Oryctolagus cuniculus: one gene and its partners. The protein of the gene in region 7 interacts with the protein of the main gene of each other region in a pairwise test. Links are inferred from orthologs where the notes say so. Each region holds a gene or a part of one and is shown on either strand. Other genes may lie near its edges.

Evidence for each region.
Region 1: the proteins of DTNB (region 7) and SPZ1 interact in binary tests that used the Homo sapiens proteins (3 or more experiments, as listed by UniProt). The two-hybrid records come from large-scale screens. The link is inferred for Oryctolagus cuniculus from reciprocal best matches to the Homo sapiens genes DTNB and SPZ1.
Region 2: the proteins of DTNB (region 7) and MTUS2 interact in binary tests that used the Homo sapiens proteins (3 or more experiments, as listed by UniProt). The two-hybrid records come from large-scale screens. The link is inferred for Oryctolagus cuniculus from reciprocal best matches to the Homo sapiens genes DTNB and MTUS2.
Region 3: the proteins of DTNB (region 7) and BEGAIN interact in binary tests that used the Homo sapiens proteins (3 or more experiments, as listed by UniProt). The two-hybrid records come from large-scale screens. The link is inferred for Oryctolagus cuniculus from reciprocal best matches to the Homo sapiens genes DTNB and BEGAIN.
Region 4: the proteins of DTNB (region 7) and CCHCR1 interact in binary tests that used the Homo sapiens proteins (3 or more experiments, as listed by UniProt). The link is inferred for Oryctolagus cuniculus from reciprocal best matches to the Homo sapiens genes DTNB and CCHCR1.
Region 5: the proteins of DTNB (region 7) and PPFIA1 interact in binary tests that used the Homo sapiens proteins (3 or more experiments, as listed by UniProt). The link is inferred for Oryctolagus cuniculus from reciprocal best matches to the Homo sapiens genes DTNB and PPFIA1.
Region 6: the proteins of DTNB (region 7) and DMD interact in binary tests that used the Homo sapiens proteins (3 or more experiments, as listed by UniProt). The link is inferred for Oryctolagus cuniculus from reciprocal best matches to the Homo sapiens genes DTNB and DMD.

The regions. Positions count from the first base shown.
Region 1 is NC_091445.1:3,906,572-3,910,118, forward strand, and holds SPZ1 (spermatogenic leucine zipper protein 1), read left to right. Parts: upstream 1-1,441; 5' UTR 1,442-1,653; coding exon 1,654-2,721; 3' UTR 2,722-3,047; downstream 3,048-3,547. UniProt on the Homo sapiens protein: Transcription factor that binds to the DNA sequence 5'-CANNTG-3'(E box) and the G-box motif. May play an important role in the regulation of cell proliferation and differentiation during spermatogenesis.
Region 2 is NC_091440.1:85,729,382-85,733,549, reverse strand, and holds the start of MTUS2 (microtubule-associated tumor suppressor candidate 2), read left to right. Parts: upstream 1-1,368; 5' UTR 1,369-1,469; intron 1,470-1,593; exon of another isoform or gene 1,594-1,749; intron 1,750-2,327; exon of another isoform or gene 2,328-2,465; intron 2,466-4,168. UniProt on the Homo sapiens protein: Binds microtubules. Together with MAPRE1 may target the microtubule depolymerase KIF2C to the plus-end of microtubules. May regulate the dynamics of microtubules at their growing distal tip.
Region 3 is NC_091451.1:44,178,888-44,181,307, reverse strand, and holds part of BEGAIN (brain-enriched guanylate kinase-associated protein), read left to right. Parts: intron 1-1,281; coding exon 1,282-1,365; intron 1,366-2,269; coding exon 2,270-2,420. UniProt on the Homo sapiens protein: May sustain the structure of the postsynaptic density (PSD).
Region 4 is NC_091436.1:139,340,023-139,343,522, forward strand, and holds part of CCHCR1 (coiled-coil alpha-helical rod protein 1), read left to right. Parts: intron 1-966; coding exon 967-1,270; intron 1,271-3,500. UniProt on the Homo sapiens protein: May be a regulator of keratinocyte proliferation or differentiation.
Region 5 is NC_091432.1:2,222,457-2,226,528, forward strand, and holds the start of PPFIA1 (liprin-alpha-1), read left to right. Parts: upstream 1-1,272; 5' UTR 1,273-1,478; intron 1,479-2,207; exon of another isoform or gene 2,208-2,228; intron 2,229-2,423; coding exon 2,424-2,687; intron 2,688-4,072. UniProt on the Homo sapiens protein: May regulate the disassembly of focal adhesions. May localize receptor-like tyrosine phosphatases type 2A at specific sites on the plasma membrane, possibly regulating their interaction with the extracellular environment and their association with substrates.
Region 6 is NC_091453.1:19,808,245-19,812,532, forward strand, and holds the start of DMD (dystrophin), read right to left. Parts: upstream 2,801-4,288; 5' UTR 2,015-2,800; coding exon 1,984-2,014; intron 1-1,983. UniProt on the Homo sapiens protein: Anchors the extracellular matrix to the cytoskeleton via F-actin. Ligand for dystroglycan.
Region 7 is NC_091433.1:177,085,334-177,089,272, forward strand, and holds the start of DTNB (dystrobrevin beta), read left to right. Parts: upstream 1-1,139; 5' UTR 1,140-1,427; intron 1,428-3,939.

The DNA of each region.
Region 1 (3,547 bases), on a different chromosome or scaffold from region 7:
TACTGGGAGCCAGACCAGCGCTCTGATGGGTGCTGGCCTTGCAGGCAGCGACTCAACGTGCGGTGCCACAGCAGCCGCCCCACACGTGCAGCTTTTTGATGATGTTGGATGCAAATCTAATATAATCCTTCATGTGAAACGATTTTTTGAGATGTATTTATTTTAAAGGCAGTGTTACAGAAAGAGAAGGAGGGAGGGAGGGAGGGAGGGAGGGAGGGAGAGAGAGAGAGAGATCTTCCATTCACTGGTTCATTCCCCAAATGGCCACAACAGCCAGGGCTGGGCCAGATGGAAGCCAAGCGCTTCTTGAGGGTTTCCCACGTGGGTGCAGGGGCTCCAAGCTCTTAGGCCAGCTTCTACCACTTTCCCAGGCCCATTATCAGGGAGCTGGATTGGAAGTGGAGCAGCTAGGACTTGAACTGGGGCCTGTATGGGACCCTGGCTCTTCAGGTGGCAGTTTAACCAGCTGTACCACAGTGCAGGCCCTGGAACTTTATAGAAATTTATTTACTTGAAAAGCAGAGAGACAGAAACAGATGGATGGCCGGCGCCGTGGCTCAATAGGCTAATCCTCCACCTTGCGGCGCCGGCACACCGGGTTCTAGTCCCGGTTGGGGCGCCGGATTCTGTCCCGGTTGCCCCCCTTCCAGGCCAGCTCTCTGCTATGGCCAGGGAGTGCAGTGGAGGATGGCCCAGGTGCTTGGGCCCTGCACCCCATGGGAGACCAGGAAAAGCACTTGTCTCCTGGCTCCTGCCAGGATCAGCGCGGTGCGCCGGCTGCAGCGGCGGCCATTGGAGGGTGAACCAACGGCAAAGGAAGACCTTTCTCTCTGTCTCTCTCTCTCACTGTCCACTCTGCCTGTAAAAAAAAAAAAAAAAAAAAAAAAAAAAAAAAAAGAAACAGATGGAGATCTTGCGTTTGCTGGTTCACTCCCCAAATGCCCACCACAGCCAGGGCTGGACTAGGCCTTCGTCCGGATCTCCATGTGGGTGGCAGGAAGCCTAGTACTGGAGCCATCACCTCCTGCCTCCCAGTGTGTGCATTAGCAGGGAGCTGGAATACGGCACAGAACCAGTCGCTGACTCCTGCCTGGATTCAACAGGGGCGGTGAACATCCCAATTAGCTTCTCAGCACTGTGCCTGGAGTACCTGCGACCCACATCAGAGAGCCAGTGGGCTGCGGTGTGGGGCAGGATGGGTGTGAGCTAAGGCAGGCCCCTTGCACGCTCAGGATGAGATGCCCCCAAGCCTAGACGAGCAAGGAAGGCAGGGAGAGTGGTGGAGCCCTTTCTTTCAACAGCTCGCGGTTGATTCTGATGCCCGAGTCAGTGGGCAGGACTTAAAGAGGCTTCCATTGTGACAAAAGGTGACGGAAGCTGGGGCCAGGCCACAATGGTGCCATGACAGAATAAAGACTCGGTTGCTAGGGTCAGGGAATAAAGAGGGGCAGGCTGGTGGAGGGGAGGTGGGGCCCTAGCGCTCAGCCCCCAGCTCCCCGACCCTCCCCGTCCCCTTAACCATCTGCGATGTCACCTTCCACCTGGACACCACCCCTCCAGGTCCAGGCTTGACTCTGGTCTCCACGCACTGCACAGGGGCCGCCACCCTCCCCTTCCTGGGATCTCCAAGGATTCTGCTCTCCCCCAGCGCCCATGGCCAGCACAGATGGCGCCGCTCAGAAGCCCATCCCCTCCCCACCCCTGAAACCCACCCCTCGTCCTCACCCGGAGTCTTCAGACTCCAACGTCACCGTGGCCTTGATCGAAATCGGCTCCCTGCCCGCCTTCAGCTGGGGGCCGAAGGTCACAGATGAGCAGGACACGCCGAGGTTTGAAAGGCTCCTGAAGGAAATTAAAGACGTCCTCAAAGGGGTGGTGAGCTGTGAAGACAAGATCACCGAAGCCGAGGAAAGCAGGATTTCCAAGGATGTGTCAGAACTTAAAGAAAAAATCCGAGGACTTGACAAGATGAATAAAATACTGCTGAGAAGCCTGCTTGTCACCCTGAACCCAGAGAAGGGGCAGAAGGCAGTGAGAGCAGGGCTGGCGCTGGAAGCCCAGAGCTCGGACGGCCCTGCACGGCCCGGGCGAGACGCGGCAGCCCGCCCGGAGGAGCAGAGGGCCCCGGGCAAGACGGCAGAGCCTGCGCCCCAGGCTCCGGGGGAAGCTGCCAGGCTCCGGCGCGGCTTGGAGCAGCTTCTCCAGGAGGCCGAGCACTGGAGCCGGCAGCAGACGGAGCTCAGCGAGCTGATCAGATCCTGCCAGGTGGCTCAGAAGGACCCGAGGGACACTCTGGACAACAGTGGCGGCGATGTCCAACGCCAGGCAAGCGGGGCCGTGGCAGCCAAGCGTGAGCTGGAGGAACAAGCCAGGAAGCTCGGCCGCGACACCTACGCCTTGCACGTGGTCGCAGCTCTGCTGGAAAACGAATGCCAAATCCTACAGCAGAGAGTGGAGATTCTGCGGGAGTTCCACCACCGCCAGCAGGGGACCCTGCCGGAGAGGCCTGTTCCCATCATCCCCCAGCACCGGCAGAAGAATCAGAAGGCGTGGGAGGCGGAGAAAGTTGTGCCCTCTGAGCAGGGGACGTTTCAGAAGAAAGCCAGAGCCTACAGAAGCCTGGACGTGTGTCTCAGTAAGAAAGCACGGAACAACCGCTTCAACAGGCGTATTGCAAGGGCTCTTACGGGAAAAAAGAGGCCAATCAGTAGCCCAAGGTAGAAAATAGGAAGACACAAGAAAAGGTGACTCCTTGAAAATCCACATCCGCTATGTCCAGCTTCAGGCATAATCAGTCATCCACCTAGGATGGATGGCTCGACCGAGAGGCTTGTAGAACAAGACACACACGTGTCTGATCCAGGACCCCAGTACCAACGCAACGGAATGGGACCACTGTGTCAACACCAAGTTCATGACTTTTCGCCTGGACCGTCTGCTTGGGTTTTATGGTTATAAGATCGAGATCCTATAACTCTTTACCCGAAAGTGAAAAGTTAAAGGCCCAATTAAGTGAAGCTGTAAATAAAACCAGACTGCAAAAGACAGCGATTTTTTTCTTTAATCATTTTCTGGGGGGAGGGAAGTTTGGGCGGCAGGGGGTGGGGGGAGGGTGTATTTAATGCTGTAATTGTGATTTTTATTTTATTTCAAAGTCAGAATTACAGAGAGAAAGGGAGAGACAAAATGGTTCTTTTACCCATTGGTACACCCCCTAGATGTTTGCAACGCACAGGGCTGGGCTAGGCCAAACCCAGGAGCCAGGAGCTTTATCTGGGTCTCCCAAATGGGTGGCAGGGGTCCCAACACTTGGGCCATCGTCAGCTGCTTTTCCCAGGCGATTAACAGGGAGCGAGATCAGAAGTGGGGAAGCCAGGACTCAAACTGGCACCCATATGGGATGCCAGCATCACAGGCGGCAGCTTTACCGGCTACACCACAATGCCAGCTCGAATCGTGATGCTTTAAAACTACCTTTCTCAATATATGTTTCCTTTTCCTAGTACTCACTGAAGTGGGCAAGGCAATGCAGTAAGATACCGGCAAG
Region 2 (4,168 bases), on a different chromosome or scaffold from region 7:
TCAAAAAAGGATTTATTTATTTGAAAAGCAGAATTACAGAGAGGCAGAGGAGAGAGAGAGAGAGAGAGAGAGAGAGAGAGAGAGAGAGAGATGTCTTCCATCTTCTGGTTCACTCCCCAAATGGCCACAATGGCCAGAGCTGAGCTTATCCAAAGCCAGGATCCAGGAGGTTCTTCCAGGTCTCCCATGCGGGTACAGGGGCCCAAGGACTTAGGCCATCTTCCACTGCTTTACCAGGCCATAGCAGAGAGCTGGACTGGAAGAGGAGCAGCCGTGTCTCAAACTGGCACTCATATGGGATACCAGCACCGCAGGCGGCAGCTTTACTTGCTATGCCATGGGGCTGGTCCCCTCCATGAGCTTTTTAAGGACTACTGATACAGCCTCCTGTACTATTCCATCCTTCAGATGTGCTAATTGTAAATAAACTCAAACTGTATTCCCCATGTAGTAATTAGGAAGTGATGCATCTGGGGTGTTTATTAACTTTATATATATATATATACACACACACACACACACACACACATAACTGTAGGCTTCTATAATTTCATCTTGAATGATGCTGGGGAGGGGGTGGCAGGAGGGGAGTGGGGAAGGCTTTAAGAGGAATGAAATTACAGTTTCAATTTGGATTGGATTGCATTTTTTTAATACCAGCGAATCAGACTGTTTATTAACACCCAAAAGTGCCAGGAAAAGCTATCAAATCTGCCCTAGATTCTTCCCGAGAAGGGAGATCAGATAGAACCGTTTAAAAAAAGGCAGTGGTGTGGAGAAAAAAAAAGGTGCTATTTCATGGTTTCCCTTGACCAAGCAGTACAGTTTGTTAAAAAAAGATTGAACTAGTATAAAATATTGCTTCAAGTTTTAAAATAGCCACTCCCTAAAAGACTGTAAACCAAGCTAAACGGAGCCAGGACCAACACCATCCGTTCATCTTCATCATGGCAAATCCTCATCAACTTGGTCTCACTTCCTCCCCTGGGGGCGTCTCCCCGCGCCCCCTCCCCGCTGGCCAGAGCTGGAGCCGGACGCCCTCGCGCGCGCGTAAGCGCGGGGCGGCCGGCAGAGGGCGCTGCGGCTCCCCGGCGGCGGGGCTGCGGCCGGCGGCTCCGGGCGAGGGGCGCGGGCCGGGAGGAGGCGCCCGGGGCTCGGCGTGTGCGTCTCCGGGCGGCCGGGAGGGGGTGCGCGCCTCTGCCGCCCCGTGCCACCCCTCCAGCGCGGGCCTCTCGCGCCCGGCCGCTGTCACCGCGCCGGCACCTCGCGGGCGAGGCTCGCGGGCTGCGCTGCGCGCTCGGAGGCCCCGCAGCTTCTCTTTGTCCGGGCGAGGCGGCCGGAGGAGCGGCCGCTGAGGCGGGGAGCGCCCGGGCGTCGTGCGGGCGGCGCGGGGTTCCTCAGCCGCCCGCCGCCCGCCGCCCGGCTGCGCTCGGAGCGGGAGCGGCGGCCCGGGTGGTGCCTGCGGCGAGGTGAGTGCGGGGACGCGGAGCCGGCGGGGGCGGGCGGGGGCGGCTGGGGCGCCTGCGGGTGCGGGGGCGCCGCCTCTCCCGGCAAGTTTGCCGGCTGTCTTTTGCGGCAATCCGTGGCCGGTCGGCGGAGTCCAGACCTGTCAGTAAATCGGAAACTCCAGCTGGGGCGAGGGAGAAAGAGGAGAAGGACGCGTGTTGGAAACGGGGTGGTCGGGATGGCAGTGTCCCGGAGGGACAGCGGTGGGCTTTCGGACTTGGTTCCGGGCTCTATCCGACCCAGGTGAGCGATTCCCGCCCTGCGCAGGGCGCGGCGGGTGGCTCCGGGCGGCTGGGAGACAGGTGCGCGCGCGGAGCCGGCTGCGGGCTGCGCCACTCTCTCGGCCTCTCCAGCGTCCCAGCGCCGTTCCCTCCCGCCCGCCTGCCTCACCTGCTCCGCGGCTCCCTCGGCATCTCCGCCAGGTGCAGCGCGCTGCGTTTCGGAGGCGCTGCTGGGGTAGTTGGAGCGATTCCTCCCCATCCACCCTCGGCTTTGGATAATTTGGTCTGTGCCTTCGTCTTAATTTAGTACGGATGTGTTATTTCCTTCCAGCGTTCTAATGGGGGAGCAGGGACGCGGCTCGCTACGTCTCCCCCCACCCCCCTGTCTCATTCTGAGCAGAAGGAATCGCAGGCATACAAGTGATGTTACTACCGTTCTATTTTAAATACAAACACGGGAAGAACTCTTGCAGCATACCAGAGGCGCCTGTACTCTGTTATATAAGTGCTTTAAAAAAAATCGCCTCGTATTGGTGAAGTTCCGAGTGGATAGCAAAGCAGCTAAGAGAGTGTGGAGGTGGCAGAACCTGCTCATCTCTGCTGTCGACCAAAACTTTGCTTCACGGTAAACGCTGGGCTTTTCAGATGCCACGCAGGAAAAAAACCTCGGAAACCTCACTGGGTAGAATTGCAAAGCGTTTAAGAAAACAGATTTTGTCAGCTCTGTGCTGGACATCGGTGAGCACTGTGTGACCACTTACGGGGGTCTGGGGAGGTCACAGGTATCCGTTAACGACTTTCACTTATTGAATGGTTTTATTTTGATCTCTGATGGAAACCTAGTAATTGTTGAGTTGCCAGTTATCAAAGGCGTCCCAGACACGAAACAGAACCCCCACCCACGCGCATTCATGGTTATTTATTTATTTTTGGGTGAGGAGAAGAGGAAAGAAGAAAAGGATCAGAGGTACTGTGTTAAGGGCCCCTTAGTCCGCACCCCCCCACACCTGCTGTAATTGGTTTGGGGAGATACCCTGGCGTCTGCATTGTTAGTGGTGATTCTGATCCCTAGCCAGAGATGGGACCCATTGGAAAGCATTCTGTGAGTTTGCTGCTTTGTAACTTAAGCCATTCTCTGGTGGTTTAATAAGGTAGGTCAAAAATACATGGGGTTAGAAATACCGGAAGAGAATGACAATAGGAGATTTTTCCAGGAATTCCAGTCCCTGCTGAGACTGGTTGATATCTATCAGGGACCCATCGCTCTGCCTCCTGTGCTGAGCTGGGTGCTAAGTGGTACCCTGGCTCGTGCAGAGGTGGAAGTGAAAGTTGAGTTACTACACAAATTATGCTTTTATGTTTATGTGAGAAAGGAACCACATCTTATTAAGGGTTATTCTCATTCAGGCTTCTCCCCCTCAAATCAAAAACTTATGTTGATATAGATGAGTAAATTCCATGCAGAAAGCTTTTTATGATATTTCAGGTCTGAAATCAACCTGACTGCTGAATCAGTGCTTCTTTCTGCCTTATGTAACTCCCAGGATCCACATCGGAGAACAGCTCTCGTGGGTGGTTTATGAAGGCTTATATAAGAGCTACGACTGTGCTTTTGGTTCTCTCTTAAACTCCCTGTTTGGGCTGTTACATAATTGACTGGGAACTAGGCTGGTAAAGCCCGAATCGGGGGAGGATGCACAAGCCCCGTTCTGCACATGCACTTTTATAATGAATTGCTGCTGCTGAATTAGAGGGAACAGCAGGGATGGTGGTTTGTGAAAGGGAGATAAGAATAGCATCTCGGGGATTGATGTAATAGAGGACTGTTATGTTGAGCGATTTTCTGGAGGTTTGCATGCTGTGGTGGAACCTCTGGTCTGTTGTCTCTCTCAGCAGAGGCGGATTGCCGGGGAGGCTGATGACTCTTAAGCTCCAGGCTTCTTCAGAGCCCCTGGGAGGGGCCCTAGCACTGTGTTTGCAGGGTCACACCTGAGTTTGCAATTGTAAGTTTGGGTTGTTTTTAAACAGATAGGATGCTCTTTCTACCCTTACACACACACACCACCACTATATAAACCCTAAGATTGCACAAACCTGACTCTGCCTCCAGCTGCAGGTTGTGTCCAACTGTTAGCTCATAAAAGTGCCTATTCTTATTTTCCTTCTTGTCATCCTATGCAATGATACAATAAAAGCAATCTGGCCAGTATTGTAGCTGACTTGCTGCAAAAATGCACATTGCTAGAACATAGGTCTATGGGGAGCTATTGAAATCAGGTGGTTGGGGCCGGCTCCGTGGCTCACTTTGTTAATCCTCTGCCTGTGGCGCTGGCATCCCATATGGGCACCCGGTTGCTCCTCTTCCAGTCCAACTCTCTGCTGTGGCCTGGGAGGGCAGTGGAGAATGGCCCAAGTTCTTGGGCCCCTGCACCCGCATGGGA
Region 3 (2,420 bases), on a different chromosome or scaffold from region 7:
GGCGCAGGGTGGTGTGGCTAAGCTCACGGGGGGGCAGGGTGGTGTGGCTAAGCTCACGGGGGCGCAGGGTGGTGTGGCTAAGCTCACGGGGGCGCAGGGTGGTGTGGCTAAGCTCACGGGGGGGCAGGGTGGTGTGGCTCAGCCTGCGGGGGGGCAGGGTGGTGTGGCTCAGCTCACGGGGGCGCAGGGTGGTGTGGCTCAGCCCGCGGGGGGGGGGCAGGGTGGTGTGGCTAAGCTCACAGGGGGGCAGGGTGGTGTGGCTCAGCCCACGGGGGCGCAGGGTGGTGTGGCTCAGCCCACGGGGGTGCAGGGTGGTGTGGCTCAGCCCACGGGGGTGCAGGGTGGTGTGGCTAAGCTCACGGGGGCGCAGGGTGGTGTGGCTCAGCCCACGGGGGTGCAGGGTGGTGTGGCTCAGCCCACGGGGGGGCAGGGTGGTGTGGCTCAGCCCACGGGGGGGCAGGGTGGTGTGGCTAAGCCCACGGGGGGGCAGGGTGGTGTGGCTAAGCTCACAGGGGGGGGCAGGGTGGTGTGGCTAAGCTCACGGGGGGGCAGGCTGGTGTGGCTCAGCCCACGGGGGTCTTGGGGTCTGGGGTCCTGGAGGTTGGTGCCAAGGGGGCAGAGGAAGGGGAGCGTGGGTCCCTGGCCAGCTGGCCGTGGGCGGAGCGTGGCCACGTCACCACGAATGCTGGTGGCCTGGTGGCTCATGGGGTCTGCGGGCGGGACCCCAGGCCTGGGGGCTCCTGGGCGGGTGGGAAGGGAAGATCCAGCCACAGGCACATGCAACAGAGATTTCCAGAGACCAACGTAAACCCTTGCATTCCTACTGTTTGCATCTGTTTTCCGCTCAGGAGGCTGAGCCAGTCCCCGCCAGGACCTGGGGGTCACTCACCTGCCCCAGCCCCTGCCCAGCCACGCAGCCAGCTCTGTGGCCAGGACACGCTGAGAAAGGGGCACACGTGGCGGGCCCGAGATACGCCCGGCACTGGAGGGCTCTGGCAGGCTGGGGCCAGGGAGACCAGGCCCCCGTTCCACCACCGTGCCCTGTCCCCCCGTAACGGGTTCCCACCTCTGCAGGGCCCACGGGCCCCCGCGTGGGGCGGCTGCAGCCCTGCCTACCCCCAGCAGCTCCAGGTCAGGGTAAGGCCCGTTCTGCAGGCGAGAGCGTGAAGCAGCCGGGGCGGACGGAGCCCCCGCCAGCCCGCGGCCCCGCCAGCCCGCGGCCCCGCCGGAGGGCCCCTCGGTGCGGGCGGGCCGCGCCCAACGCCGTCTCTTGTCTTTTAGGAGCTCTATAGGAAGGACTGCAATCTAGCGGCCCAGCTGCTGCAGTGCAGCCAGACCTACGGCGGGGTCCATAAGGTGTCCGAGGTAACGTGGGCCCCGCCCCGCAGCCAGGCCCCGCCCCCGCCCCACCCGCGGCCGTCCCTGCCCTTGAGGAGGAAGCTGCTGGGTGAGCCTGGGCCCCTCAGCCCCTCCTGGACCCGCCTGCCACACGGCCCAGAGGCCGGGCTGCCCGGTGCCCCCCTTTTCCAGGGGCTGAGCCCAGGCTCCGCCCCCCGTCCTCCAGGGTACACCTCACAGCAGCCCACGATCGGCAGTGTCCGACTCAGAGACAGGAAAGCTGCCTTCAGCAAGGGGGCTTTGGCCACGGCCGTGGGGTGAACAGGCAGCAGAGGCAGGGCTCCGACCAGGCAGAGCCCCCCACCCGCGTGTGGCAGCCTACACAGGCCCTAGACGCCCACCCCTACAGGCAGGCTCCCTCCTGGGCCTCATCTGCATCCCCCGCCCTGGGCCTCGGCCACACCTAAGACACGCACAAAATAGATCAAACAGTAGTGGGACGGCCCCCCTCCCCGCACCGTGGCCAGGCCCTGGTGCGGAGGCCGTGGGGCGCCTGGCCCTGGCCCGTCGATCTTTGTTGCATGTGTTTCTGAGTCTGTCTCGTTCCGGGCACCCGGGCAGTGTGCCTGGGGCCGGGGCGCCAGCAGAGCCCACAGGCCTGGGGGAGGAGCCGAGCGCCCGTGGGGCAGGCCGGCGGGCAGGCTTCCGGCTCGTCTGGCCCGTGGCAGCCTCTGGGCTCTGCTGGGCCCCGCTGGCGTGGGGCGGGGTGGGTGGAAGTGTCCGGCGGGCCCCCGCAAGGGCTGCCACTGTGTGAAGTGAGAAGCCCGGGCGGGTCCCGTCCGTCCGTCTGTCCGTCTGTCGTGTGGGTCACGTCCGTCACCGTGGTCCTCGGCCGCGCGCTGACTGCGACTCCTGCTCGCGCCCGTTCCAGCTGCCCTCGGACTTCCAGGAGCGCGTGAGCCTGCACCTGGAGAAACACGGCTGCAGCCTGCCCGCCCCGCTCTGCCACCCGGCCTACGCCGACAGCGTCCCCACCTGCGTCATCGCCAAGGTGCTGGAGAAGCCCGACCCCGCCGCCCTCT
Region 4 (3,500 bases), on a different chromosome or scaffold from region 7:
AGCTGCCTCAGGAGCCCTGTTGGAAGCTTTTTTTTTTTTTAATTTATTTGACAGGTAGAGTTATAGACACAGAGAGAGACAGAGAGAAAGGTCTTCCTTCCATTGGTTCACTCCCCAAATGGCTGCTACGGCCAGTGCTGTGCTGATCCGAAGCCAGGAGCCAGGTGCTTCCTCCTGGTCTCCCATGTGGGTGCAGGGCCCAAGCACTTGGGCCATTCTCCATGCCCTCCCGGGTCACATCAGAGAGCTGAACTGGAAGAGGAGCAACTGGGACTAGAACCAGCACCCATATGGGATGCCGGTGCCACAGGCGGAGGATTAACCAAGTGAGCCATGCGCCAGCCCCCTGGAAGCTGGTTTAAGTTTTCGTGACTCCTGTAGGCCATGCAAACTTTTTTGCAACAAAATGAACTTACCTTTTAATACCCCCCCTTTTTTTTTCATGAACTGCTTGAGCTGTTCTCATATTACGAAAAGATCTGGACCGTGTTGTTCACTAATGTGCTAACCCCTCAGGCCCTCAAACAGCAGAGCGTACCTGACCCTCAATGCCTGTAGTGCGGCCTTGCCTTGTCGGGACTGGAAGCTTCCCATCTTTCTCCCCCTGTGCTTGTCTCCCACTCTTCCTTCTCAGGTCAGAATTCAGCAGTCTCTGTGTGTGTTTTCCAGCCTCTGTGCAGAGCGAGTGACCTCATGCTATGCACACTTGCTGGTGAATACTCCTGCCTGCGATACCTCTCACTGGCGTTTAGGTCCCATGAGCCCAGGCTGAACCTTTTGTGCTTCGCAGGGCCGGGATGACTGTCAATGATGATGGGAACCTGGAGAGCTCGATGCCCCAAGCCTCATCCCCCTCTTCCCTCGCAGGAGCAGATTGGTCCTCTTCCTCCTCCTGTCTCTGTGTGTGCCCTCGCTACCCTCCCAGCACCAGGGACGCATCTCACCTGCGCCAACTTATCTTTGAAGGTCCCTGGAACTGGCAGGGTCGCAGGCCCTGAGCCAGCAGGCCGAGCTCATCTCTCGGCAGCTGCAGGATCTGCGGCGGCTGGAGGAGGAGGTGCGGACGTTGCGGGAGACCTCGCTGCAGCAGAAGATGAGGCTGGAAGCCCAGGCCATGGAGCTGGAGGCGCTGGCTCGGGCAGAGAAGGCCGGCCGGGCTGAGGCCGAGGGCCTGCGGGCCGCCTTGGCCGGGGCTGAGGTCGTCCGGAAGAACCTGGAAGAGGGAAGCCAGCGGGAACTGGAGGAGGTTCAGAGGCTGCACCAAGAACAGGTGAATCCTGGGGCGGGAAGGGTTCGGTCTCACAGCAGGGTCGCAGTAGCTCCCTGGCAGAGGGCAGATGTCAAAGAGACCTCCATGAACCATGAACAGTGAGGTCTTGGGTGCTGGAGAAAGACACGGGTGGCGTGGAAAGAAAACTTGGGTGTCTCCCCCGGGACTCAGATGACACCCCCCCGCCCAGTGCAGGAAGCCCCCCTTCCTCTTCGGAAGCAAGTAACCCACCTCCTTCCTTAACTGCAGGTGCCCAGTTCACGTGGGAGCATTGGGGGGGGGGACAGTGAGGAGGGTTACTCAGTCATTTCTCAGTGCTTGGTCATCACCATCCTAGTGAGCAAATCTGAGTCCTGGCCCTCGTGGATGGAACCTACGGCCAAGTGGGGGACACGCAGGGTCCACATTCAATGTGGTCATTATTTATTAATTACAGATGGAAGAAGTGCCTTGGAGGGGAGCCCTGACTTAGTCTAGGGGTGAGGGCGGGCCACCGTGATGAGCCACAGATGTCACGAATGAAACCACAGAGGCACTGGAAGAGAAGTTGGTGGGTTCCCTTACAGCCGTGGAGTGGGTAGAGCCCCCCTGCCTGTGCGTGACTCGAGCTGCAGGCAACTGGTGCGGGGGTCGAGTTGTCCGTGAGGACGCTGTGCCCCATACCCGGGTGCCTGGCTGCCTCGCCCTCGGACCCCTGACTTCAGCTTCTTGCTCATGCAGATGGGAGGCAGCAGGTGACGATGGCTCAAGTGGCTGCTTCCAGCCCCTCCGGTGGGGGACTTGGATCGAGTCTCCGGCTACTGGCTTTGATCCCCCAGCTGTTGTGGGCATTTGGGGAGTGAAGTAGCAGATGGTAGCTCTGGCTCACTTGCTCGCTCTCGCTCGCTCTCTCTCTCTCTGCCTCTCAAAGAAATAAAAATAAAGTAAAAATAACTATATTTTCTAAAAAATCTGGAAGCCATGAAAGCAGATGTTGATAATTGAGTTTGTGGTGTTGGTGCCAGGAGTGACGCAGAGTTAGAGTGAGTGAGAAACCAGGGAAGCGCACTTCCAGCGCACATCCCAGGAGGAGACCAACACCCTGAGATACAGTGTGTGCCCAGGAATCAACAGAGAAGGCCACGGCCCCGGCAGAAAACAAAGGACATAGGCAGGTCGTAGGAGTGTGAGAACAGCCTTTTGCTTCGTGAGAGGCGCAGTAAGAAGCAGCTGATGTTTGCTTAGCACGAGTTGGCTGGTGAAGGGGCGCGTGGGCTGGCGAGGGGAGCTGGGGCACTCCGGAGGGCAGCTGTGGGGCCCGGGATGCTGGAGGCCGAGGGGCTTGAGTACAGGAGATGAGGGACCCTGGGTGGCACCGCAGAGCTCCCGGCGTTCAGACCAGTTCAGAACTTTATGGGTTTTTTTTTGTTTATTTGTTTTGACAGGCAGAGTTAGATAGTGAGAGAGACAGAAAGAAAGGTCTTCCTTCCGTTGGTGCACCCCCAAATGGCCGCTACGGCTGGCGCGCTGCTCCAATCCGAAGCCAGGAGCCAGGTGCTTCCTCCTGGTCTCCCATGAGGGTGCAGGGCCCAAGCACTTGGGCCATCCTCCAATGCCCTCCCGGGCCACAGCAGAGAGCTGGACTGGAAGAGGAGCAGCCAGGACTAGAACCTGGCACCCATATGGGATGTCGGCACCACAGGCGGAGGATTAACCAAGTGAGCCATGGCACCGGCCCCAGAAATTTATGTTTTTAAAGATTTATTTATTTATAGGTTTGAAAAGCAGAGTGATAAAGAGAGGGAGAGACACACAGAGAGATTGTCCATCTGTCGGTTCACTCCTTAAATGATTATAACAGCCAGGACTGGGACTAGCTGAAACCAGGAGCCCAGAACTATATCTGGGTCTCCCACGTGGGTGGCAGGGGCCCGAGTACTTGGATCATCATCTACTGCCTGCCCAGGTGCCTTTGCGGGAAGCTAGATTAGAAGCAGAGCATCTGGGGCTTGAACCAACGCTCTGGTATGGGTTGCCAGTGTCACAAGCAGCTGCTTAACCACGCTGCCCCGTAATGCTGGCCCAGAACTCTGTGGCACAGCAGGTTACACCGCCACCTGATATGCAAGCACCCCATACAGGCTGGTTTGTGTCCTGGCTGCTCCACTTCCAACCCAGCTCCCTGCTAATGACCTGGGTAAGCAGTGGAAGATGGCCCAAGTATTTGGGTCTCTGCCATCCACAGGGAGAC
Region 5 (4,072 bases), on a different chromosome or scaffold from region 7:
GGCAAACACGGGCTGGGTGCGCTGAGCCGCTGACCCTCAGGAGAGCTGCAAATCAGTGATCCAGACCCTGGTTCGGAGAACCGGGCACCCCTGCACCCCTGCAGAATCGCAGACCTAAGTGGTGGTTTTTTTTTTTTTTTTTTTTTTTTTTGTACAATTTTAACATGGCAAAGAGCTGGGGCAGAGATGCAGATTCGGGTTCGTGTGTGGTCCCTGGTCACCCAGTGCTTGTTCTAGGTGGTCTGACCCATGGAGATTCGAGGGATCACCTGGAGGGTTCGGGTGCGGCTCCTGGCTGCACACCAGCACCCAGAGGCCAGTGGGGCCGCAGCCGCTGCCCTATCGTTTTGGTTTATGAAGACCTTGCGCTCTCTGCGCCCGACCGTGCAGGGGGCGGGCACGCGTGCGTTCCTGAACGCTGGGACCCGCCACTTTTGCGTGGGATGTGGCACGCGGCAGGCGCTTTTTTAGGCGCTTGCGGAAAGGGTGACTGGTCACGCACGACTCGCAGGAGGGCTTCCCCTGCCCGGTTCCGCACCTGCTGGGCTCTCAAAGGCCCGGCCCCCGAGGGCAGCTCGGAGGTGCCTCCCACGGCGCAGGTCCTGCATCCCGGAGCTGTCCAGGGACAGGAGCGGCCGGTGGCTGAACCAGCCGTGCCTGCGAAGCCTGCACGTCCCCGCACGGCGCCCGTGAGCCTCGAAATCCGACGCTGCTGGTCTTGGCCGCCCCAGGTGCGGCATGTAGCGTCGGAACGTGGGTCTGGCGGGGCCGCCGCGTCCCGCCCGCCCTGTAAGGATCCGCCCGGGGCCGCTCCGGGACCGACGCGGCGGGGTCCGGGCCCGGCTGTCAGCGGGCGTCGGAGGTCGCGGTTCGCTCTCACGCAAGGTGGCGAGTAGCAGCGCCAGCCCCGGGAGCGGAGCGCCGACGTGACGTCCGGGGAGCTCTGGCTCGGGACCTGGCACACCGCCGGCGCGGGGGCAAAGGCCTCCCGCGCTCGCACGGCTGCGGGAGACTCGGGGGCAGCACGCAGGCGGAAGCTACAGCGGCCACCTGGCTCCGCGGCTCCCACCTGTGGCTCCGCCCGGGGACCCGTGTGGGCGGGGCGGGGCGGGGCGGAGCCTCCGCAACGCCCAGCCAATCGGCGCCCTAGCGGCCCCGCCCACTGCCTCCCGAGGCCGCGGCGCCTGCGCACTCGCGGCCGCGGCGCCCCGGGGCCCCTCCCCCGGGGCGGTGCTGACGCTCGCGCCGACGCGCCGGACGTCGGGCACGTTGACGCCGGCGACGCGCAGCCGGGCCCGCTCCTCCTGCGCTCCGCCAGTGTCCGGCCGCTGGCCGGCCTTCGTGACGGGCGGCGGGCCGCGGGGCCGCGGCGTGGGGCGGGCGGGCGCGAGCTGCCCGCGGCTGCCTTCGTCGGCCCCTGAGCTCGCCCGCAGCGAGCCGCCGCGGAGCCTCGTCGCCCGCTGCCGCCGGCCAGCAAGGTGAGGAGCGGGGGGCTGAGGCGGGCGCGGGGCCCGGGGCGCCCGGCGCCGGCCGGGCCGTCCCCGCGGACGGAGTGTCACCTGGGGGGCCGGGACGCCGCGGGGGCGCGGCTGGGGGCGCGGCCCTCGGCGGGGAGCCCCCACCCAGCTCGGCGCCCCGCTGCTCCCCGGGGGGCTCAGCCCTGGGGGCCGCGCGCTGACCGCGGCGCCGTGGTGACCCCAGCGCCGGGGGCAGGGGCGAGGACCTGTGGCCACGGCGGGCGGGCCTTGTCCCAGGGGCTCCGAGCACCCCCGGGTGCTGGGGCTTGTGCGGCACCTGACGCGGGAGGGGACGGAGGTGCGAGCGGTTGGCGGTGGCCGGCGCCCGCCAGGTGCGCGGCGCTGGGCTGCTGGCTCTCGGGGGTCGCGGTGCCCCGGCAGCCTCCGGAGCGGTGCCCGGCCTTTCCGCCGGAGACACCTAATAGCCTCTGGTCAGCTCGCCTTTCACTTTTCCTGGCTTCCTCGCTGGCCGTCCCGCGTGGAATTTCCACCCCCGCCTCCCCCAGGTTTATTTTTTTTGGGCTGTAAACTGACGTAAGCGAGGTTGACTGACCAACCACGGCAGCCGCGGAGAAACACCTCTGCCCGCCCTCCCCGGACCCGGTTCCCAGGTGCAGCCCGGCATTCGCGAGCCGACCGCACGCGTTCCCGTGCGATGCCCCCTCTCTGCCCTTCCTGCCCCGGCCCCGAGCCGGGCGGCAGGAAAGTCAGGTACCAGAAGCACGCGGAGAGAGCGGAGCCTTGCGGGCACAGCACCCCGCGGGCCGCTCTGGGTCCGCTCTGGGTCCTCGCTGGTCGCGGCCCCGGGCGTCTCTGCCGACCCCCTGCAAGCAGGCAGGACTGGGAGTGGGGACAGCCGGGTGCAGGTGTGTGCCCCGGATGACCGGGCTGCTGCCTGTCTTGCAGATGATGTGTGAGGTGATGCCGACCATCAGTGAGGCAGAAGGCCCCCCGGGAGGCAGCGGGAGCCATGGGGCCGGCTCCCCGGCCCAGCCCGACGCCGACTCGCACTTCGAGCAGCTGATGGTGTCCATGCTGGAAGAGAGGGACCGTCTTCTGGACACGCTGAGAGAGACCCAGGAGACGCTGGCGCTGACGCAGGGCAAGCTGCACGAGGTCGGCCACGAGAGGGACTCTCTGCAGAGGCAGCTCAACACCGCGCTGCCGCAGGTGAGGGCGCCCTGCGGCGCGGCTCCGGGCCGCTGTGGCCATGGCGCGGCGCGGCTCCGGGCCGCTGTGGCCATGGCGTGGCGCGGCGCGGCTCCGGGCCGCTGTGGCCATGGCGTGGCGCGGCGCGGCTCCGGGCCGCTGTGGCCATGGCGCGGCGCGGCTCCGGGCGGCTGTGGCCGCGGCTGCTGACGGTTGTGCTTGCCGCAGCGTTGCTCGGGGCCAGCTCCTCGGGACAGCAGCCGCGCCCTGCCTTTCCGCGCTCGGGCCTGGCGTGGCCAGCGCCCTCCGTCCTCCCGTCTCGCTCGGGCCTGGTGTGGACAGTGCCCTCCGTCCTCCCGTCTCCGGGTCTGACGTGGACAGCGCCCTCTGTCCTCGGGCCTGGGTGTGGGCAGCCCTCTCCGTCCTCCCATGTTGCTCGGGCCTGGCGTGGGCAGCCCTCTCCGTCTGCCGTCTCTGGGCTTTCCATGCAGAGTGTGAATTTCCTGCGGATTCTGTCCCACCGACCTGCAGTTCCCCTGAGGCGTCTGGTAGACAGACAGCTGGGCTTTGCCCTGGACTGGACAGCTGTGTTTTGTGGGTCAGGTTTGTTTCAGGAGCTGGGAGACTGGAGGTTGACCCCAGGGGAACTTGAAACAGCTGAGGCTGTTTGACCTCTCAGGGCGTGTCCTGCGGAGCTGAGTGGGGTTCAGTGGTAGGGGAAGGAGACGAGGGCGGGTGGGCCGCCCAGAGCACAGTGGGGATGCGTGGTTGCTGGGGGTCCGCGAGCTGTCTGCATGCCGCGTTCCTTATCCATAGAGGTGCCTTCGCGGTGGCTCCAGGGCGCTCTGACGAGTGAGCAGGTGCAGGACTGCTGCCCCGGTGCCCTTCTCGGCCGTCCTCGGCCGTCCTGAACACGACGAGCAGACATTCAGAGTTCCTTTTTAGCCATCGCAACTCGATGTTAGTGGTTTGTTGTGCGTTAGAGAATTCATTAAGATTTTTCTCTTTCAAGTCTTATAAACTACCAACTTTGTTTAGGTCAGATTTTAATGCCAAAAACGTCAAAGAATTGGCCGGCCCGTGTTGTGCGGGATTTTACTGTACGTGCTTGTAGGTCTTTTCCGCAGTTTCGTGTTTTGGTCATGGATACGGCACCCACGACAGTGCGTCCGACACGCGGGTGTTTGATGAGGTAGTTACCGGGTGGGGGCACGCAGGAGAGCAGGCCGGTGGCAGTGTGTGGCACACGGAGCCTCCGCGGGCGGCGGCGCCCGGGATCTTTCTGGAGAGGCCTGGTTGGCTGAAGGTGACGCCGCCGGTTCACGTCAGCGCCTGATTGCAGCACCGCCGAAAGCAGCCAGGGGACTTGTTTTGTTCCTTCTCTCTTCCTGGAATCTGGCTGGGCT
Region 6 (4,288 bases), on a different chromosome or scaffold from region 7:
GATTATTATCTTAAAAACTATGTTATCAATTCAGTTCAGCAACCTCTTTTTCATAGTTAAATGCCCTAAGAGGGCTTTGCAAATGAAATTTTAAAAGGTGATTTTATTACATCTCATGATGCTTTGCATCATTTAAAAATTCAAATGAAATGTCTATTTGCAATTAATTATTTGAGCAGTTGTTTCCAATGGATTATTTGAGTAATTCTAAAAGCAAACAATATGTGTATTACTACAGTGATATTCTTAAAGGGCCATTACTTTGGTCAAAAAGCAATCAAATGTGCTCTTTTAAGTTTTTCATACTAAGGCAATTTTACAACGTGGATTCAAATGTTTAAACACTCAAATAATAGCATGTTGTCAAATAGAAAAATTAATGTATAATATAACCCTGATAATATTTCTATTTTCTCTTAAACTCATTGTCAGGTTGCAAAGGTATTACTTGCTGTTTTTAAAATGCTCCTTTTGGAGCATTTTTTTTAAGGTCAACTTTTCAAATTCTAATGTATTAAAAAGTTATTTGAATATCTATGACAAAGAAGAGTATAGATTTATCTTACTTCATTCCAGAATTGCATATTTGTGATACTTTCCAAATATCTCTATGTATTGGTGTATTTTAATTTTATTAGCTATAGATAATCAATCATAAGTTTGACAATATTGATAGATTAATGATATGAAAGAACTAGAAATAGCAAGGGAAATATGCATTTGTATACATGTGTAGCTATGTGTATTTTTGTAATGCTACTAGATGGAATAGTTTTTCAATCAGGAAGTGATGCTGATGCTCACCACAGAAATTTTTGAAGGACACAATATGAAAAAAGTCATATTAATGAAATCTAGTACCATCTAATGTGAATTAAGAAATGAATGGTGCTTATTTACTTCACAAATTTTCTGTGGCAAAACTTCTGACTCTTTTTGTAGAAGTTGTGATATATTATTACTTATTTGGAGAGATTTAATCTTTCATTGTTAATTATAGACATTACCTTCATATCTATTTCAGAATGACCATAATTCACATGTCAAGGCAGGAAAAGAAAAAGATAATCTCCTTCAACCACCTCTTTGGGACACAGTGTCCTTATATATCATTTTTACTGTTGTGCCATAGTTAATTTTTAAATTCTTCATTAGTCATCATGACTTTCTTAAACATAAACAAAATAGTTTCTTTTTTTAAGAAGTTAATAAAAATATTTACTGAATTAGTTGGTCACAACAGTCATGAAACAACACGATCAGTTTTCTACAAAATATGATGAGACATCCCTCAAGTTTTTATGTTGTTTTCTCATCAAGAGACTGGTCATTTGCCAGTGTAGATCACATACTTATTTGAAAAAAAAAAAAATCTCTCATGCTATAAAAAAGAATTCAAAACACTAAATATAATGTGAGAAAGGAAATTAAACCTTTATCAATATTTTCGCATCTGTCATTTATCCATCACAACGCAATTTTGTTCTTTGTCCCCCCACCAAGGTATGCCACATAACATTATTCTAATCTTTAGGCCTGTATATCATTCCAACAAAGCAGTTAATTCACTGAGAATATATGTCAGGTCACTACTCTACATGGAACCACCACTAAATACACAAGTATTAAATAATCAAAATAATAACTCATATATATAGAAACTATTTCACAGAAATCAACTGCTCTGTACTAATACTCCAGACCTGTTATACATTTTCTGTTAATCTAGTGATTTCTTAAAGAAGAAAGATGTTTTTGCCTATATTGAAAAAAACCCAAATATACCTCATTTCTTATTGAAAGTTTTCCCAATGGGAAGTACATACACCTTAGTATATATACATATATATACAGTATATAGAACATTTAAGATTATTCACGAGCAGCTGCCATAATTTAAAATCAACCTGCTTAATCATTGAGATTATCACAAACAAAAAGTTACACCACAGTAAGAGATATTTTTAGTTACTTTGTACTTACAACAGTCCTCTACTTCTTCCCACCAAAGCATTTGGAAAAAAAGTATATATCAAGGCTGTGATAAAAATCTTGGTAAAAATTTCTTCAAACTTTATTGCTCCAGTAGGCTTAGGAATGACGAGAAGCCAATAAACTTCAGCAGCTTTCAAAAAAAATAACACTTCAGTTTTTCCTATTTGTTTTTCTCTGAAGGCAATTGCCTCCAAGTTCTGAGTCTGTAAGGAGAAAGTGAGTGATCCCAACACTGAGTGAGTCAACGCAGTAACTGATGCCAGGATTCTGTAGAGGCCCTTGGATATTTCACATTCCAGGACCTGCGCACAAGCAAGTGACCCGCCTTTTCTCTCAAGTTGGTTTCCCATAATAGGACTGCCCATGGACACTACATATAAGGTTGTGCTCCCAGCATGGAAAGCCCAGTGAATTCAAATAATGCTCAACTGTGTTGTGATCAGTATCCAACCAGAATAGCACAGTGGATAAAGTACTTGCTCTCAAAGCCTTCTGAAGACAAAAAGCCTTCAGTAACAAACCATAACAATATTTTCTAGAACATTACATAAATTTCTAAAACAACAGAGCTGAAAATTCTGATCCAGAATGAACTTTTAAATGATTTTCTTTCTCCCCTCCAAGAACCCCCAAAACTTCACTCTACTGAATACAACGGTATGCCCAGAATGATCTATGCATTCATTATGTATCCACTGTCTACCAAAGTTAATTTTTACCATCAGGATCCAATCAAAAGTTGTATATGGATGATTGCAACAGTCTGAATAAGAGAAGCAACAGCAGAATGTAGCAGCTAAGTTCTGAAGGCAGAATGTGTGTTAGTCTCATGGAACAAGTTTTCTGCTAAAATAAAGAGCACTTAGAAGGGAACAAAACCGCTTTTAAAATGCTGCATTTTAATTGTGGTTATGATAAGAATTCTTTACTAACAAATGACTCCTTGTTAAATTTCTTTGGTGCAAATTATTAAAACATCATTCTCTTACGCATTTAACTAATGATCACTTAATGCTTCTCAACAGAGCCTTTTTTTTGCCTGTATCCAATACAATGTGTCATCCAGCATGTTTGTAAATCATTCACTGCCAAAGGAAGACTTCATCTTCTTCCTTACTATTTTTATTTATCAACTGAGCCCAACATTTATAGGAAACATTGGTAACACTTTCTAGAAAAATATTCGTGTTGCTATCATAATAATCCCTACTAAAACTATTTGTTTGAGTGTTTTTATAGTACCATTTGTTAAAGTGACAGACTCATTTTTCTATGTCAAGCTTTCAATTGCTTGGCACAGAAATAAATAAAGGATAAATATAAAAATGACACATTGAATCAGACAATAATGTTTATATTAATAGTCAATTATAAATTTTATATTTAGGATGCCATCATTATAATACTGCCATTTTGCCTGTCAAATTCTATATAAAGTAAAACATGAAGTCTAATTTTAATTGTAGGTAATTTTATGTAAATCACTATGATTAAAAATAGATTAAAAACACCATTTCCATGGGCCATCTCATTTTCTCTCCTTAGTGTAGAGATATGCATATAAGCAAAAGTTTCTTAAAACAAAATGAAAAAAAATGTTTTGGGGCTGATTTGGATTCATATCTGCTCATTAGCATAAGTATCTCCCTGAACTTTCACGGACAATGTTGTCCAGAGTATAAGTTCTTTTACATCTTGTACTTTGAGTTTTCTATAAACTCATGTTTAGACAAGGCATATGTATAGTTCTTGAGTTCACAAACTAGGCTATTCTGTATCACATGTGAACTTTAAAGAAAGCAAGTATACCCAAGTCCCGGAAAATCAGAAACTGTTGGTGTATGAGCCAACACTCTGTGTCTTACAGGTGACTCTAATGCTTCATCAACTTTGAGAAACCCTGAAGCATATGTTTCTAAAAATAACTGTAGTTCCAAATATACCAAAAATGTGCCCTGGGTAAAGAAAGCTTTTGAATGCCTGATACATTTTAACTATCTTTTATTCTTATTCAGTAATCAGAATTTATTTGGCATCTGTAATAACTTCTGCATAGTGTGGAATACATATACCTTCCTTAAGGTTTTAAAGAGAAAGGCATATAAGAAAACATTTAACCCAAATACAGTGAACTCCTGTACAGACCTTGTCACTATTTTCTGTGGCTTTTGTCATTTATTTCTCTCATTTACTCATCACAATAATGAAATCAGTTAGGTCTTAGGAGCTCCATTATAAAGATGACTGGTCAAGGAGCTTGCTCAAGTTCCTGTTTTGAACTACTGGCAGAGAA
Region 7 (3,939 bases):
TTCTCTTAAACCATCTGCTTTTAAAAAACATTTTGATTTATTTTAAATTTCTTTTTAATTTGAAAGGCAGCGATGGAGGGCACCTTCTGTTTCCTGGTTCACTCCCCAAATCCTGTAACAGCCAGGCCAGCCCCAACCCAGGAACGCCCTCTCCTGATTCCCACTTGAGTGGCGCGGACCCACGGACTCGGGCCCTGGTACTGCTGCCCAGGGTGCACGTCAGGGGGGAGGTGTAGGAGAGGGAGCTAAGACTTGGAGCAGGCACTCCCATCCACCGGCCAGCCCAGAGGGACCTTCAGGCTAGCTCACTTACTGAATTACCTTGGTTTCAGTGAATGAGCAAACACACCAAGCTGCATTTACATATTTATTTTTCGTGATTTACACATTTTTTTTTCTCCAAAGGAGGGAGCCAATGTTTCACCCTTTCAACGCCTACCACACTGTGAGTGCTCAGTAAAAACGAACAAACGGGCTGGTGTGATGGCACCGCGGGTACAGCCTCAGCCTGAGTCCCGGCTGCTCCACTTCCCATCCAGCTCTCTGCTGTGGCTTGGGAAAGCAGTGGAGGATGACCCAAGTCCTTGGGCCCCTGCACAAGCGTGGGAGACCTGGAAGAAGCTCCTGGCTCCTGCCTGGCCCAGCCCCAGCCCCTTGCGACCATCTGGGGAGTGAACCAGCGGGTGGAAGACTCTCTCTTGCTCTCTGCAACTTTCAAATAAATGCATCTTAAAAAAAAGAAAAAACTCCCACAGTTCTTTATGAACCCGGCGTTTGCGCTCGCGTCCCTTAGTTGCGGGTGGCCGGTCCCTTCGCGGCTGCAGAGGGAGGGGCGGGCGCCAGGCGAGCTCAGGGCGGCAGCGGAGACCCTCACACCACACGCCCTCTCCCGCCCCCTGCTCCACAGAGCTGCGACGCCTAGGATGCCCGTGCGCAGCAGCCAGCTCCGAGCCGCGGCCCCCAACCAGCCCCGCTCCAGTGCTCGCGCGCGCTCGCCGCTCGGTTCCGGACGGGGCGGGGCGGGGGCGGGAACTCGCCCCGCCCCCGCCCGCCCGCGCGGCGGAAGCCCCGCCTCCGCCCGCGCGCTCCCCGGCGGCGCGCGCCCGCCCCTGCGCCTCGCGCCCTCGCCCTCGCCCTCGCCCTCGCCCTCGCGCCGGGGGCGGGCTCGCTGCGCGTGCCGGGCAGGAGGCGGCGCGGGCCGGCGCGGAGGACGTCCGCCGCGGGGGCGGCTCCGGGGCCTGAACAGCAGCCGCCGCCGCCGCCGCTGCCGCAGTCTCAGGCGAGGGGGGCCGGGCAGGAGACGCGGAGGAGGCTGCGGCCGCGCGGGCCCTCGCCGACGCCCCCAGCTTCGAGCCAGGTGGGGAGCCCGCGGCGGCTGCGGCGGCCCGGCCGGGGAGGGGCGCTGAGGCGGGTGCCGGGCGAGGCAGGTGAGGCGGGCAGGCCCGGGCGGAGGGAGGCTTCCTCGCCGCTTCCCGCACGCCCTGCTCCCTGAGGCGCCTCGGCGAGAACCTGCCGGCCCGGGCCTGCGCGGGGGCTGCGGGCGCGACACAAAGCGGCGGGCGCCCCGCGCCCCGGGTCCGGACTGGTCGGAGCCGCGCGCGCGGCGGCTTGCGGAGTGCGGCGGGAAGGGCCGGGCGGCGCGCGGCGGGGCTGCGGGGGCATCCCGAGGGTCCCGCGTCGAGGGCAGGAGCGGGTCCGGCAGACTTGGGAAGAGAAAGGAAGTTCCCCTGCTTCCCGACGCGAGCGCAGACCCGCGGCCGCCCCCGACTCTGTCCGCCGAGGCAGCCCCGGGCGCTGGGTCGGGCCGGGGGCCGGGGGCAGGGGGCGTCCCCCGAGCGCTCGGTGTGGGCCCGGGCGCGTCCCCGGCGGCGGCGCGGGCTGGCGCGTGCTGGGGACTCGCCCTGGTCCTGGGACCTCGGCTGGGGGGTGGGGGTCCCTGCGGTCCCGCCCTCGGCCGCGGTTTGGACCCGTCACCTCCAGCCTGGTCTTTGGGCTCCCGGGTTGCAGAGCGGAGTTGCCCGGGAGGGGGTCGTGCCGGCGGGGGCTCGGCTCTTGGTGTCTGCTGTGCCGCGCACAGGATTTCTGCTCACGGTGGGAAATGAGACTTCGAACCAATAGAATTTCAACTTGCCTTTTAATTTGCGTCTTTGCTTGTTTCCTTATATAAAAAATAGGGTGGTCAGCCTTGCAGAGGGCTCCCTCTTTTTCCTGGAGGGCCTTTGAACTTAAGGGGCAGCCGGCAGGTGTCGGCGAGTTCTTGTTTTGGGGCGCCTCATTTCTGCAATTCTGGGCACCTTCTTCCAGACTTTCCTGACTGTATCTTATCTTATGGATGCATTTATTTTAAAATTAACTTTGCCGATGTACAGTTTGCATATATATGATAAAAGGCGCATTCTTCGTGTACACTTGGATATTTGGAAAACCATAGGCACTTTGTAGCCGCTGTCCCGGGCAAGGTATGGAAATTTCCAGCTCCCCGGAGAGTTGCCTCCTGCGGCTCTGCAGCCCCTCCCTCCCCCTTTTCCCTTACTTCTGATTACACAAGCGCGGAGCCTCGGCGTCTGCTTGTGCCAGCTGCGTGCTGCCAGGCTTCGGGCTGCGGTTCCCGTGCAGGCAGCCCCCGCAGTGTGTGCCGCGCGTGGGGTGCTGTGGCTGGGACGCACACCTGCACAGGCGGAATAGGAGGCCCCCGGCGAGTCCTTTCTCCACAGAGCCCACTGTCTGGTGTGGTTCTTCCAGATCTTTCTCTGCGTTTTCACGCACACACGGGCACTACAGAGAACATGCGCTCTCTCCCCTGCCCTAATGACATCCTGGTGCTCCCGTCGTTTTGCGACTTGTTTTCCACTGAGAGCATGTTTTTGAGACTTTCCCATGGTGGAGTGTTAGGGGTCTTCTGAGTGTCTCCATGGCCTCGTGTCTTCCCGCTTGCCTTCGGGTCTTGCACAGAAGTGCAATTTATTAATCGTTTTTGCGTCAGTGACCGTTGTGGCTGTGAATGAAAGAGAAATGCTGGGTCGCAGGGGTCCACATTTCAGATGGCAGTGGATGGAGGTTTACCAGGCTGCTGCTCCGGACTGTGGCCCGTTGATTTCTCGCTGCTCTGTGTAGTGTGAAGTCAGTCTGTGCCCTTCTTTCACCAGGAACACTTAGGCTGCTTTGGATTGGAACCTTTGGCCGATGCATCCTGCTTGGCTTTCCCTTTCCAGGCGTTTTAAGTTTTAATGTGATATTCATGGAGGATTTCCTTTAAATGGCTTGTCTTTTGAGTGTGTGGGTCTAGTTTAAGAAACCTTTCTCTGCCTCAGAGTATGAATTGTGTATTCCTGTATTTTCTTCTAAGAGTTTTAAAAAGTTTCGCTTTTCAAATGGAATCTATTTCTATGTGGGGTATAATGTTGAAACATAATTTGCTTTCCAGTTTGGCTAACCAGCTTTTCTGTACCTTTTCCTTTTTTTTTTTTTTTTAATTCAAAGATTTATTTCTTTGTTTGAGAGGCAGAATTATAGAGAGGCAGAGGCAGAGAGAGAGGTCTTCCATCTGCTGGTTCACTCCTCTGGTGGCAGCAACGGCCGGAACTGTGCCGATCTGAAGGTAGGAGCTAGGAGCTTCTTCTGAGTCTCCCACACAGGTGCAGGGGCCCAAGGACTTGGGCCATCTTGTACTGCTTTCCCAGGCCACAGCAGAGAGCTGGATCAGAAGTGGAGCAGCTGGGACTCAAACCAGAGCCCATATGGGATGCCAGCACTGCAGGTGGCAGCTTTACCTGCCACACCATAGTGCTAGCCCCTCCATTTTTTATGACAAAAAAATCTACATAAACCTCACCATTTCTTTTTCTTTTTCTTTTTTTTTTTTGACAGGCAGAATGGACAGAGAGAGAGACAGAGAGAAAGGTCTTCCTTTGCCGTTGGTTCACCCTCCAATTGCCGCCG